Neurospora crassa OR74A: one gene and its partners. The protein of the gene in region 2 interacts with the protein of the main gene of each other region in a pairwise test. Links are inferred from orthologs where the notes say so. Each region holds a gene or a part of one and is shown on either strand. Other genes may lie near its edges.

What was found.
Region 1: the proteins of NCU07382 (region 2) and NCU06149 interact in binary tests that used the Saccharomyces cerevisiae proteins (3 or more experiments, as listed by UniProt). The link is inferred for Neurospora crassa OR74A from reciprocal best matches to the Saccharomyces cerevisiae genes LSM2 and DHH1.
Region 3: the proteins of NCU07382 (region 2) and NCU06678 interact in binary tests that used the Saccharomyces cerevisiae proteins (3 or more experiments, as listed by UniProt). The link is inferred for Neurospora crassa OR74A from reciprocal best matches to the Saccharomyces cerevisiae genes LSM2 and XRN1.

What each region holds. Positions count from the first base shown.
Region 1 is NC_026507.1:1,628,156-1,633,013, reverse strand, and holds the start of NCU06149 (ATP-dependent RNA helicase dhh-1), read right to left. Parts: upstream 2,600-4,858; 5' UTR 1,891-2,599; coding exon 1,847-1,890; intron 1,793-1,846; coding exon 127-1,792; 3' UTR 1-126. Other genes in the region: NCU06150 (hypothetical protein), read left to right, coding at 4,375-4,858. UniProt on the Saccharomyces cerevisiae protein: ATP-dependent RNA helicase involved in mRNA turnover, and more specifically in mRNA decapping by activating the decapping enzyme DCP1.
Region 2 is NC_026501.1:6,140,550-6,144,750, reverse strand, and holds NCU07382 (U6 snRNA-associated Sm-like protein LSm2), read right to left. Parts: upstream 2,299-4,201; 5' UTR 2,217-2,298; coding exon 2,164-2,216; exon of another isoform or gene 2,108-2,163; coding exon of another isoform or gene 2,094-2,107; intron 1,723-2,093; coding exon 1,472-1,722; intron 1,383-1,471; coding exon 1,345-1,382; 3' UTR 973-1,344; downstream 1-972. Other genes in the region: NCU07381 (DNA cross-link repair protein pso2/snm1), read left to right, coding at 1-912; NCU07383 (transcriptional regulator Ngg1), read left to right, coding at 3,319-3,832, 3,946-4,201. UniProt on the Saccharomyces cerevisiae protein: Component of LSm protein complexes, which are involved in RNA processing and may function in a chaperone-like manner. Component of the cytoplasmic LSM1-LSM7 complex which is involved in mRNA degradation by activating the decapping step.
Region 3 is NC_026505.1:4,231,925-4,236,782, forward strand, and holds the start of NCU06678 (exonuclease Kem1), read right to left. Parts: upstream 3,049-4,858; 5' UTR 2,484-3,048; coding exon 2,479-2,483; intron 2,394-2,478; coding exon 2,300-2,393; intron 2,232-2,299; coding exon 1,925-2,231; intron 1,866-1,924; coding exon 1-1,865. UniProt on the Saccharomyces cerevisiae protein: Multifunctional protein that exhibits several independent functions at different levels of the cellular processes. 5'-3' exonuclease component of the nonsense-mediated mRNA decay (NMD) which is a highly conserved mRNA degradation pathway, an RNA surveillance system whose role is to identify and rid cells of mRNA with premature termination codons and thus prevents accumulation of potentially harmful truncated proteins.

The DNA of each region.
Region 1 (4,858 bases), on a different chromosome or scaffold from region 2:
CGAAAAAAAAGGACGACTAATATGTACAATTCAAAGACAAAACAACGTGGAAGCGATGCATGGTCGCACACCTCCTCACATTACCACATATCCCCCTCCTTCCAAAACTTGTTGGGAGAGTTTACCCTACTGGGCAGACAGTGGACCCTGAGGCTGGCCCTGACCTTGGGTACGAGGACCGCGCTGACCACCGTAGTTCTGGTTCTGACGGCCTCCCTGGCCCTGGAAACCACGTCCACGACCTCCGCGGCTGCTACCGGGCTGCCCGCGATTGTTCTGGTAGTTGGTGGGTCTGGGTTGGTTGTTGGAAGCACCTGTGCCATTTTGGCGACCGTTTTGCCCTTGCCAATCACCCTGGGCCTGGGGGATGGGTCTGTGAGGCTGTTGAGCTTGAGGATTGAAGCCAAGTTGTTGGTTGCCCTGTTGAGGCGGGAGCTGGTTTGACGGCTGTGTCTGTGTTGAGAAATGCTGTTGCTGTTGAGACTGTTGAGGCCTTTGCGATTGCTGCAATTGCTGTTGCGGCTGCTGGGCAATAGGCTTGAAGGTCGAGATGGGCCGGGGAATCGATTCAGGGTTCTCGTACACGTAGAGGCTCTTGTCAATGGTCTGAGGAATGGGCTGGATCTCTGTACCAAGATCGCGCTCAATGTTGTAAAGGTTGAATCTGTCATCCCAATTGATCAAGTTAATAGCAAGACCAAGGTGACCATAACGACCAGAACGACCAATACGGTGGAGGTACGTCTCGGCGTTCTTGGGGAAATCGAAGTTGATGACAACGTTCACTGCCTGAATGTCAATACCGCGGGTGAGGAGATCCGAGCAGACCAGGTTGCGGCAAACACCGTTGCGGAAGTCGTGGAAGACACGGTTTCTCGCCTGCTGAGCCATTTTGGCATGACTGTAGAAGCACGAGTATCCAAGCTCAGTGATCTTTTTGGCAAGCAGTTCGACGCGGTTGGTAGAGTTGCAGAAAATGATGGACTGGTTGATCTGCAGCTTGGAAAACAGAGTGTTGAGGCAGTGAACCTTTTGCTTCTCCTCAACAAAGGCATAGTATTGAGTGATACCGCGGAGCGTAAGCTCGTCCATGAGGTTGATCTCGTACGGGCTAGTCATGTTCTTGTCCGAGAAATCCTTGACCGAAAGAGGGAAAGTGGCGGAGAACAGCATGACCTGACGATCCTTGGGGTGGAACTGCAGGAGCTGCTCAATGACGGGGGTAAACTCTTGCGACAGGAGCTTATCAGCCTCGTCCATAATGAACATTGGGCACTCGCTGAGATCGGCCACCTGCTTGCCAGCTAGATCGAGGATACGACCTGGTGTTCCGACGACGATGTGTACGGGGTCCTGCAGACGCACAATGTCGTCCCGCAGGCCAGTTCCGCCGGTTGTCACCATGACGTTGATGCCGAGATGCTTGCCGAGCGTCTTGCAGACTTGGGATGTCTGCATGGCAAGCTCACGGGTGGGAACGAGAATAAGGCATTGGATCTTGGAGACCTTAGGGTTGATCTTGTTGAGGGCGGGAATGACGAAAGCGGCGGTCTTGCCGGTGCCGTTCTTTGCGCGTGCGAGGATGTCTCGGCCGGTGAGGGCAACGGGGATCGCTTCTTCCTGAATCGGGGACGGTTTCTCGAAGCCAGCCTCGAAAATGCCCATCAAGAGATCCCTGTCGTGTATGAAGTCTTCCCAATCCAGACCCCTCGTGTTTGTAACATCCTCGGTCTGTTGTCTTGTGTCCCTGGCAGGTAGGTTAAGTCCCTTTTTCCAGTCTTCCGGGCCTGAGCTATCAAAAACATGTCAGCTGGGTTTGGGACAGAAGGGAAGGCGGTCAACCTACCTCAGACTAGTAGCTTTCAACTGATCCGCTAGTTGGTCGGACATTTTGCCGGATGGTCGTTGTTCGGTTGTGGAACCCGTGGTCGAGGCTCAGATGTTGCAGAAAGGAGAGCGTAGAGCGCGATGGCTTCGTCTCCGGGTGTGTGTAGCGAAATGGACAAGTGGTTGACAAGGGGAGAGGAGCACTAGTTGTGGGTGGGAATCCCCTCTTTCTCTTTTGTTTTTCGGTCTGTTGACGGTGAGCAGAGCCAGACAGATGTAGCTTTGTAGGCGGAGGCGGAGGCCTGTCGCGAGCGGTCGTGGGGCAAAGATGAGACGGCGGTGGATGGGGATGGGGTCGCGAGGAGGCTCGTTGCGTGTGGGAGCACCAAGGACGTTCTCAGTCGTTTGATTTTGCCTGTATGCCTCGAAGTCAAGCGACGTCTTTTGTGGGAGAGGCTGCGAGGAATCCGATTCGGGGTCGACGGCTGGGACTTGATTGGCCTGTGAAAACTGAAGGGCGAATCAAAGCGACGTGTGCGATGCCGTTGGGAGAGTGGGACGAGATGGTGCTTTGCAGCGAGCTCAAAGTGTTTCTGTTCTGTTGTGATTGAAGTGTTGTCGTTGTTGTGGTGGTGGTGGTGGTCGTCGTCTGAAAGCGGGGCAGAAAGGCAGAGAGTTTGAGGGAAACTTCCGAAGCTTGGACGAGGCGAGGCGGTGCGGAAGTCGTGAATGATTCAGTGCTGTTTAGGACTGGGCGAGTGAGTGGACGAAGGAGCCGGAGCGTCCAGGTCCCAGGTCCAGTCTCCTCTCCTCGTCAAAACTGTTCACTCCACTGCCGAAAGGGTCTCGGATCACGTGTTCCCTTGATGTTCCCTGCCGAACCCTGCCTGCGCCTTCCAGTCCAGTTGTGTATCGCACAATCAGCAGCGTGTCCACCACGACGGGACCGAACGGGACCTCCATTTCCATACCTGCGTAGTGTAGTGTATCTCGTCTCATAATGGAAGGCGGCGGGGGGCGCCACTCATAGGCCACAAGTCGGCCGCGGCATCGCCTTCCAGTCCCACTTCAGGGGCAATTCGGTTTATACCTCTACTAGTGTACCTACACTATGACCGCTGCCTGTGCCTCCTCTCTGTTGGCCTGGGTAGTGTACACTGCATAGTAGTTCTGGTGGTGGCCCAGTGTACCTAGCGTACCTCTACATTGTATATATCGACGTCATCCGGCGCACTGGTGGGATATCGCGGGCGACATCCCGTCCATGGACGTCCTTCTGGGCTTTGTTACGTAGGTAGCCGAAATTGGACAAAGTAATGATCAAAGTTGACAAAAAGTTTGACAATTGGAAAACAGTTCGATATTTTCCAGCACGGTCAGATCCATGAATGTGTACATCATGCCCGTCTCTTCACTGCCGTCTTGCGTGCCCAGTGTCAAGTATGTACATAGGTACCTACAGAGAGGTACATTCGACTAAGTCTAGTAGTACCGCTTTTTTCAATTCGATTTGGATACCCCTTAGCTCCCCCTTTAGCGGGCTCGGCGGGCCACCTTACCCGATCTAGGTTTGTAAGCGAGCGCCCTACAGCTGACAGCCTCCTGCACACACCTTGTGCCAGGTGTAGCCACGTTCACATACCCACTCTGAGCGCCCAGAGGCTACAGTGGGCTTGCAGATGGCTTGCAGTTGGGCGCCAGCTTTACTGTAAAAAGGCTAGCCCCCCCTTAAGGGTACAGTCCCGGACCAAAAATAAAACACGTTTCTTTTTTACCCGCAAAAAGGGCCAAAACTCAACTCTATCACTCCCTAGTTTTCATGCCAACTACCTTTCAAAAGCAGATGCACTAAAGGAGGACAGAGTTAAATAGTTATACTCCCCAGATATATAAATGAAATTGACTTCATTGGTTTAGTAGTGTAATCACAATTGTTCAAATGAGAGTTTGAAAAGGATTTTTGGTTATAGTGCATTTAGAGTGCATTATAGTGGATAGAATCTGAGATACTTTTCGGAAAGTGACTTTAGTACTTACGCTTTTGCCCCCCGTTCGAGTGTATCTTTTCGGACAACTTGCATTAGTATCTCCTCTTAAAGTTATCTCTATTTAGAACGTGGAGTGAGTTTTGCAATAAACCACGTTGAGAAATTAAGAGTAGAAGAAGTTGAGTTTTGGCCCTTTTTGCGGGTAAAAAAGAAACGTTCGTTTTTTTTGGCGCCCCACTGTACCTATCCAAATCGACTTGGTTTTAGCGGTAATCGGGAACTGCCCCACACTCAGAGGTGCTGCTGGCAGGCAATGTCAAATGAATGTCTGACACTGAGCTCCCAGCATATCCAGGGCAGCAGCATATCGACATCATCCATTCCAGGTTTCCCACCCTCCACCAAACACCGTTCTTGTATGCCATCCCCATCGCCCATCTCCTCCCGACTCCCACTCATAATCGACTACTAAGTCTAGGCACACTGAATTGTCGCGCCTGGAGCCATGATTCTCTATCAGCCTCAGTGAGCTCCAACATGACTACTTGAAGCCGTCACCATGTTTTCCTTGAAATTTGCCGCCATCAGCTGCCCCGGCAATGCCGCCCGCGCGGCCCATGGCTCGCTCACGCTAGTCCGGGCAGCAGCAACACCATCAAGTCGGCCGTGTGGTCCTTTGGCCGTCGATCCCGTCCTCTTTGACCTTCGTCCGATCGCTCCGACCGCCCGAGGAGCTTTCCAAACCCGCCTCTTCGCTTCGGTACATCACGGCGCAGCAGACGCGGAGCCGCCGACAGACCACCCCGCATTATATTGGCCCGCGTCCAAAAACCCTACACCTTACGAGATACTCGGGCAAAGCAAAAATGATCCGTATAACAAGAAGCGCTTCCACGAGCTGGTGAAGCTTTACCACCCGGACCGACAACCCCATACAGGGCTTCCCGACACTTCTCACCCAACCAAGCTTGAGCGCTACCGTCTCGTTGTCGCCGCCAACGATATTCTAAGCAATCCGCAAAAGCGCCGCATGTACGATCTCT
Region 2 (4,201 bases):
AGGAAGGGGGATGGCAGCATCACATCAAACCCAACACCGCCCGAGGAGGAACAACAAGCAGAAACCAAACCCCCTCCCAACGCCTTCACCGCTCTCACCTCTTCTTCTACTATTCGCAAAAACCGCCTCCTCGTGGTCTGCGGCACCTACTCCATCGGTAAAGAGCGCATCTGCGTCGCCATCGCGCAAGCCCTCCGCTCCAAAATCTTCGCTTCCCCTTCCAAGATCCGCATCACCAAACAGCTCGACGACCCCGAGCTCTCCAGCCTGATGACCGCGGACCCCCGTGAGGCTCAAGTGCACATGCAAGCTCTCGGCGAGATCCGCGCCGATACGCTGGCTGAGTACCTCGAGTTGCACCGGTCCAACGGGTTCAGCCGCATTGTCGGGTTTCGTCCCTCGGGGTGGAGTTACCGGCCCGGTTCCGGGTCCAATAACAACCAGAACAGCCATGAAATACAGTTACCGCCCGACATCGACACAGGACCTCCCGCCTCCGTCCCCGTCACCGCCAGTCTCCCTCCATCGTCGCTGCCAACCACGCACCTCCTCCACGGTAACCGGTTCCGCCCCCGCTTCTTTGCACAGAACGTGGTCCCCCAGCGCGGGAGCGGGAGGGAGGCCATGTGCTTTGGGGTTCCCTATAGCGAGCACAGCTCGTTCAGGGAGCTGGCGCTCTTTTTGATGGCGTTGAGGGTGGAGAAGGTGGTGCCGACGGTGAATGTGGGGAGCGAGGCGAGTAGAGCGAGAATGAAGGGGTGGATTGATCGGTGGGTGGGGGAAAGGAGGAGAGGGGGGTTGGTGAGGATTTTGCATGAGCAGGAAGGGGGAAAGGGAGAGAAAGGGGAAGATACCAAAGGGCAGAAGTTTTGGGATGGGAAGGATGCGAGTGGTGGGGAGGTTTATTGGTAATCTGTGCGGTGCTCTGTATGGTGGTGTGCGGAAGGGTTGGGAAAGGGGGGAGTGCGGTCGGTTGGTTGTTTGTAAATCTGTCTGAAACTCTATTCGGCCGTTGTGTTTGCGTTTCCACTCACACATGGAGAACACCGCCCTTGCCTGATTCTCGGTTCAACTCAGCCGTGTTCATTCCTCATCTGGTATCCGCCTATGTGACACTCTTGACGCCCTGCCTGCTTGTCTTCTCCCGTACCACCCCATCCTGGTCTCTGGCCCTCTTCGTTTGCCCTTGATTCTCGAGCGCGTTTCCTTCCAGCTTCGTCAATCGCATCTGTTGATAGACAACGTTGGTAGCGACAATAACGGGTCGAAAGTTAGGGTGTGCGTTCCGTGAAGTGGTTCTAGAGCGAATGATCCCCTCCTCCTCCTCCTCCTCTCCTCTCACATTCAACCCTGCTTAGCTTTCGTAGCCTGGTTGGCCGCCTCTGCAACACGGCGTTAGTATGCATCCAACCCATTCAACCCTTCCATGCAGCTACCACGAGCCCCTTCTCACTCAACACACAAAACATACCTCTTCTCGTGGCATCCTCTAACAACTGGATATCCACGCTCTCCTGGGGCAGGTGAACGTAACGAACCACAGACCCGCGGATAAACACGTTCTTGACCGCGCTCAGGTGCGGATACTTGAGCTCTTCAACGACTTGGATGTTGTCGAGCTTGATGTTGAGGAACTGGTCGACGCTCTTGAGCACGCCCCGGATCTGGATGTCGTTCTTGAGCTCGACCGTGACCTCGTGGTCGATGAGGGTCTTGAAGAAGCTTTTTGCGTGAAGTGTCAGTCTGTATTTGTTTGACTAGATGTTGCGGTGGGTGCTTGAAAGGGAAGAAGGGGGGGTGGGAAGATGTGGTGTGGTGTCGATGCGCTGGTCCGTATTCATAAGGGAATGCAGGGATTGATGAGCAATGTTGGTAAACAGTGTGGTATGTTGAAAAGTCATCATGTGTCAACTCAGGCAGGGCTTGGTCCAGGTATGTGAAGCAACTCCTGATATGCGTCGCAGACCTTGTCATGCTCGGCTTCAAAGCAGCATCACAACATAGCGTAGACTTGACCCCACTAGGGAATAATGACTTGATGTAATGAACGAACACGAATGCTCCTCTTGGGTTGGATGAGAAAATTAGATTACCTGAAGAACAACATGTTGTTGGTATCAGTGTTGCTATGTTACCAAATGAGTGACGGGAAAAGAAATCAACCTTGATGATGTTAAGATATGTTGGACAACAGAACTAAAGTGACGGGCATTCATCAATTGGTCGAGGTGCCCGTTGCTTGCTGGAACTGTAAACGCCAAGGAGACGACTGCCCAACTCGGTGGAGGACTTGGAAAGAGGTGAGCCGCGCTTTGGGAGTCCGAGCGTCCATCAAGTGCAGTGGGAGCACAGACCATTTGTTCTCTATCCGCCAAGACCTAGGTGCCCGTATCGTGCTACCACAGTAGATAAGTACCTACCTACTGGCAGCTGACAGCCCGGGGAGGTGGGCAGGTATGGCACAGTTAGTTTGTACACTACAGAGCTGCCCTGCCTCCTGAAAGTGCCCATGTTGAAGTCGAACCCAAGTGCCGTCCAACTGACCTCTACCTCTGCAGGAAAGAAGTGCCCGACAACCAAAGTGTGGCACAGGTTCAGTTGTCTGTTGAGTAACGGCAACGCGAGGAATTCACAGGCGCGACACGGGCACATCAGTCACACAAACTCAAACACCCGACGGAAATAGCATTGCGAGGCCCAGGGCAAGGGCAACTCTGGAACCCCAATTCCACTTGCAACTTGAAGTGTACCTCTCCTACGTAACTTAGTCACCTAACTTAGTTACGTACACTTACAACGCAGAACGCTACAGAGCAAGTGGAAGTTGAAAGAGGCCCGCCCAGCGCTCTGGCCCAGTCCCATCATTGCCTGATTCCCACACGATTCTTCACTCCCCGCGAGCGACAGTCAGGGTCGACAGGGATGTGCCATCAGTTATTGTGCCGTCATTGGATTGTGTATCGACCAGCATCGACCGCCTTTCAGCGAGCGAGGCAGACCGCGACGAGCATCCCTCGAGCACGCCGTGGACGCGGCAGCCTTCCCGGGTCCTGATACCCCTTATTAGACAGACAGACGCCATATCGACATCGCCGTTACCTACCGAGGACCCAGAGCAGCCAGCCCCCCCAAGACCCCCCGAGTCCGGATCCTCTTCCACGGAACTCCCTAAAATCCCAACAGATACCTGGAACCCCCGACAGCACACGGGCCGGAAGTCGCCGCACCAGGATCACCCGTAGTAAGGTGCGCAGCAGCCAGCGGCCAGCAAAAAAAAAAGCCAGGAGCGCGCGCGGGGTTGCCGATTACGCAGCAACAATGCCGCCGCCCTCGGGCCAAAAAGGCAGCCAGAAGGGCACGGGGAAGAAGGGTGGAGCGGGTGTCATGCGCCAGCACCAGCACCCGCGCAGTCGCAACACCACGCCCAGCGCCGGCTCTCCCCAGGTCGCCAGCCTGCCCCCCATTGAGCAGCACGAGACGGCTACCCTGGACGTGCGCTTCGACCTCTTCCGCAACATCACGTACGACGACCTTGTCGACCACGTCGCCAACAACACCGCATCGCCCGACTCCAAGAGCCTCGATGGCCTCCTGTCCCGCCTGTCACGTCTTAGCGAGGTCATTGACAAGCGGGGCACCAACTGTGACAAAGGCATGCGTCTGCTCGCCCAGTCCCGCCGCCTCCGCGAGAGCGAGCTGGCTGCCGAGCGCGGCCGCGAGGAGGAACGCCGCCAGAAGGAAGCCGACGAGGAGGAGCGTGCCGAGCGCAAAGCCAACAAGAAGAAGCGGAAGGCCACCGAGAACCTGGCCCCGCCCCAGGGAAATAGCATAGGTCCGTTACCACCACCTTCACCTTAACCACCGTGCATCCCCCCTTCCAATTGAAATTATCTACCTGCTTTGACAATACAAAGCATGGTCCTGACTCCCCTCTCTTCTCCGCAGAATATTCTTCCCCAGTTCGCGAGTCCGGAAACAAAGCCAGGAAGCTCTCCCGCGATGACTCTGCCAGCTCCTCTCTCTCACCAGTCGCCCCCAGAACGCCCACTGCCATGGAGGCCGACGAAAAGACAAAGACCGAGGAAAATGACGACGACGACGACGATGACGATTCCGATGACGATGGCCAGCCTCCGCCGCCTGCACGACCACAGGCCAACACTTTTGGCGATGACCCGTCTACCTTTCCCGATCCGACCGT
Region 3 (4,858 bases), on a different chromosome or scaffold from region 2:
CTCCGACTGGAACACGTTGACGCCATGGTACCCAAGGGAGGCGGTGTATGGCAGTGTAGCGAGGGAAGGGAATCCGGCCAGCGCCGATTCGTTCAGCAGAGCACCGTCGGTCAAGCCAACACGATATTCCAGTCCCTCCACGGGCGGAAGATCGAAAATGTTCTCGATACAGTGGCAGTGGGGAATGGGCGGGAAGATTCCGACAAGGGAGGAAGGGTATTCAAAGTCTACCGAATCGGAATAAGTGAACTTGAGTGCGACGCCAAAATCGTTCCTCGACTTCTCAACGTCCGAGAGAAGTTCGTTCTTGGGGCCCATTGCTGCAAGCAGCCGCTTCTCGTCAATGAAGGGAATCTTGACAACGGCTTCCCAATCCATCTTCTTGCCATTCATGTCAAGCTCAAAGTCTCTTGGGTAGAAGTCGATGATGGGAGAATTGGGGTTTGTCATAAGATCCCAATATGCTGTCGGCACGATCTTTTTGCTGCGGTCTGGCAAGACACCCATCAGCTGCTCGTATGGCTTGAACGGCTGACCCATCTTGAAATTAAGGTCGGCTTTCAGGCCTTTCATGACATCGGAAATCAGGGGAGCGTAGTGGTAGCGATAGAACCAGGGCCAAGAAGCAATACCACGGTAGTAGTAGTAGAGCACCCATTGAAGACCCTGGACGTAATTCTCCGTCAACTTGCGGAGTTCGTCCTCCTTGTTCTCTGGGGTCCAATCCTCAAACTTCTCGGCATAGTACTTGTCTTTCCACTCTTGGAACTTTTGCTGGTATTTAACCTCCATGGCAGCCTTCGAGTCGGCCGCAGTTAAATCCAGGACTTGGGCGTTGTCGTACTTCTTGATGATACGGAGAACGGCTGACTGGGCTTCCTCGTCCTCTTCCGACTCGTCGTCTCTCTCGGGGAAGGACAGGATTAGGTGGCGGTGTCCCTCGTCATCTTCCTTAGTTGCCCAAGGAATGTGAGCAGTATCAGCCAAGTCTTGGACAAACTTGCGGTCCTCGGCCTTCAACTCGGTACCGAGGTCAAGCGTATTAGTGCTCCTATTCATAAGGAATTTCCTGATCTTCTGCTTCCAGAGATTCTTCTGGTTCGTGGTGACGATGAGCTTGCCCTTGGTCTTTGCCTTTGCTGTCTCTGCCTCGTTATCTTCAAGCATCTTCTTGGCCCGAAGCCAGCTTTGATCCTCATGTTCATGTTCGAAAAAGCGATACTCCTCCTTGCCGAGTTCTTCCAGAAGCAGGCCGAGTCTCTGGAGGTTGACCTTACCGCCCTCGTTGATATATCCGTCGCCGCGCGGAAGAATTTCTTTGTAGATCCTAAACATGAGCGAAAGAGCGCCTTCATTGATGTGAAGCCGCGGAAGGTTGGGAAGGAAGTCGTTTCCGACAAAGAATGCCATAAGAATGAAGTCGTCAATAACTTTTTCCATATCGAATGGAAAAGACATGGCTCCAGGTTTCTTGAGATCCTGGAACTCCAGCTCCAGGTACTCGCGGACTATGCAGAGATGCATCAAATAGAAGTTTTGCTCCTCCAGTCCCTTTGCCTTATGCTTAGACGGGCCGCGGCCAAAGGTAACTTCCTCGCGCAGAAGGCAGAAGTGAGGGTCATGGCTGAGGAGGCCAAGCATGATCAGATCGGCGTCGAGGCCATACAAACAGTGACGGACGTTCGCGTCATAGTCGAGTTGAGCGCGCGCATTGCGGATGTACTCCATGATCTTGTGCTCACCCTCACCAGGGACCTCGTGTCCAGACAAGACAATCTCGGGCTGTTGCCAGTCCCTGTCTTCCGAGACCTTTTTATGGATGAAATATCTCAGCTGTTGCGAGAGCTTGGCCATGAATTCGGTTCCTATGCAGCTAGTTAGCCTCCGGGGAAAACATTCAAGCGGGCACCAGCGCCAGACATACCAGGTGTGATGCAGTTACTGTCGAAAGGTTCTTCTTTGGGCAATTCCTTGCCCTCACGAATCGCCTTATCTCTAGCCTTCTCATTGTCCAGCGCGGTACGAAAACGACGAGCACGCTGTTGGTTCATCTTTGCGCGAGGGGCAACGCCATCTATAGCCATAAAGAAAAGCTTTTTGGGCTTGATTTTCCCGAAGAGATGTTCGATGTAGTTGAATATAGCAATGAACATCTCCTCCTCTGTCATGCGAAATTGTACATCGCTCGTGTCCTTATGGGTACAGTTGTGGATGATACCGTTCATGTCCAACTGAGCAAACCGGTTAGCTAGGCAAGTAACGCAAGACAGCCATCAGGCCTCGGGAGGGAGCAGCGAACATAAAGGCAGTCGAACTCGGGGATACGGTTCTCGGCGATGAGCTGAGAAATGGCGGGATACCGCTCCGAGAGCCATCTGAAGAACTTGGGAACACTGGACAAGAGGGGGTATTAGCCACACGCCTGAACAACGCGCGCGTATACGGCGAGGGAGGAGCTTTGATGTGGGAGTCATATACCCCATGTTGACTAAGTGGCCTGTGGTGCCGGACTAGATGTGTACACTACTAGAAGTTTGCGAAGGAGGTCTGAAATTGGGGCGCGCTGAGCGGTCGCAGGAGATGTCGCAGACGGGGAGTCTACTTAGTTACTGCTGTCAGGGGGCGAAGGAGAGGCGTCAAGCTGGTCGTTCAAATGCCGGCACTGAATAATAATGGCCGGGTTTCTAGATAGCGAAGCCTCCAGGGATCGCAATGGTGCAATAAACCGAGGGGGGACGAAGCAGCAAGGTCCAAGACTGAAGATGCTGTCTATGGAAGGGAAGAAGAGGAGTGTCCTTGGAGCAACCGACAGCGCCAATCGGGAAAAGAAGCTACTATAGTGCTAAGAAAAGCGGAAAGGTTGAGAATCCGAGGAGTGGCCTAGGACGTTGGCGGCCTATGTTCGAGATAGACGGAGGTAAAGGAAGAAGTGGGTGATGTCTACGAGATGGAACCGCAAGAGAAACAAAAGTGGAAGGTCCGTCAGAGGTGTGGATGGGACGGAGAAGGTGTCGGGTCCTGGGCTCCGGGCTGGCTAGGTGTTCAGGCTGTGACACACTGCAGTTTCTAGTTGGCCTCCGTTGCCCCACGCGGGTTGACTGTGTGCCTGGGGGCGGCGTGAGCGTCGGTCGTAGAGGTAGAGGTACCTCTAGAGCTAGGTACTAGCGCTCGGCCCGGCCAGGCCAGGCCAGTAGTGAGCGCTCCGCCACCTCATCAGGCTCCCGGCTGTCACTGTCAGCTCTCTCCCCGCACCAGCTACTACTGAACCTCAAGGTAACGAACCTCAAGCGAGCCTCCGCCCTCGACGAGCGGAACGGAACTGCCCTGGAGGGAATGGGGGGTCTGACAAAAGTGGGCGTAGCAGGCCTTTATAGTATAAAACGCTTGAGCAGGGGTTGTGGGCTACAACATCCTTACACAATATTGTTTCTTACTGTAATCTACTAGATAATTGAATATTGTTGTATTGAAGTTGGTTTTATTTTACAATACGTAGTTTTAATTAATAGTACAACGACTATTAACGCGGTATTGTATACAAAACGGAATTAACCGTTCAACAGCGCACAAAAGTACGACAACAGCGAACTGTACCACAACAATACGACCCGAACTACAAAATATACAACATAATAAATATACTCACTTAAATTGCTAATTGCAAGCTAATATTCTTATTAATATAATAATTGTTTAATTATATTTATTTATTCAACAATTAATATCTATTCTAAGTAACAAAAGCCTTACAATTATTTCACAGCAATTTTCAATCAATATTACACTTATATTGATAGAGGTAGGTAGTAGGGGAGAAAGCGCTATATTAAATTACTTATCTAAGCTACCTAAGTGGCGGGTATTCTTTATAGAAGTAATTCCTATTATTCCCTTTCTAATAATTGTAAATTAAAACTCTAACCTAGGTATATAAGAAAATTAGAGTACGGGTACCGTATAGGTAGCCAATAAGAATATTCACCTCAGGCTACCCCAAATACGCCTCCTTTAGGACTATTTCGATATAATAGTATAAAATATATATTCCTTAATATAAATATAACAATAAGAAAGTATAACGAAAAAAAAATAAAAAACTTTAATTCCGGCTCTAAATAAAGACAACACATGAAACTAGTTGTAAATAATAACCTAAGGATAATAATATAAAAAAAGAAAAAAAAAAAAAAGAAAAAAAAAATAACCTAAGGAAGATCGAGGGGTACTATAGCCCAATACGCATATAATTACAAGCTTTACTTATACTAACCATTAGCAACGAACATCCTCTGGAACTATTCCTCCCTAGAGAGATAAAACTTATCGAGGTATTCTATTGGGAATTCGAACCCAGGCGAAGGCATTCTATACTAGCCACAACTATCTTTTAAAGTCCAATTTCTAACCTCTTTAATATTCTTCATCGGGTTTAAGGAAGTATTAACAAAATATCAATCTAGAATCCGTAGTTCGTAGAGGCCGTTAAAATTATCTATATTAACCCTATAATAATAATGCTCTACGAACTCTATTTATATCAAATCAAAAACCCAAACTTCGCCCTCGAACTTAATAAAGTTATATCTACAATTAGTAATCTAATTAACTACTTTACACTCTCCCTTATACTTATAAAAGTCAAGAGGTTCCAAGATCTCCTCTAACTTATTAGGGGACTAAATAATTATAAATATAATAGCATTAGGGGGAGGGGGCTCAAAAATCTCCTCCAACTCATCAAAGGACTAAATAATTACCAATACCTCTATAAATATAGTAAAATTAAAACTTAAAGCAAAAACCCCCAGCGGAATAGCATAGTCGGGGATAAAGTCTAAGGAGCTAGGAACATCACCGC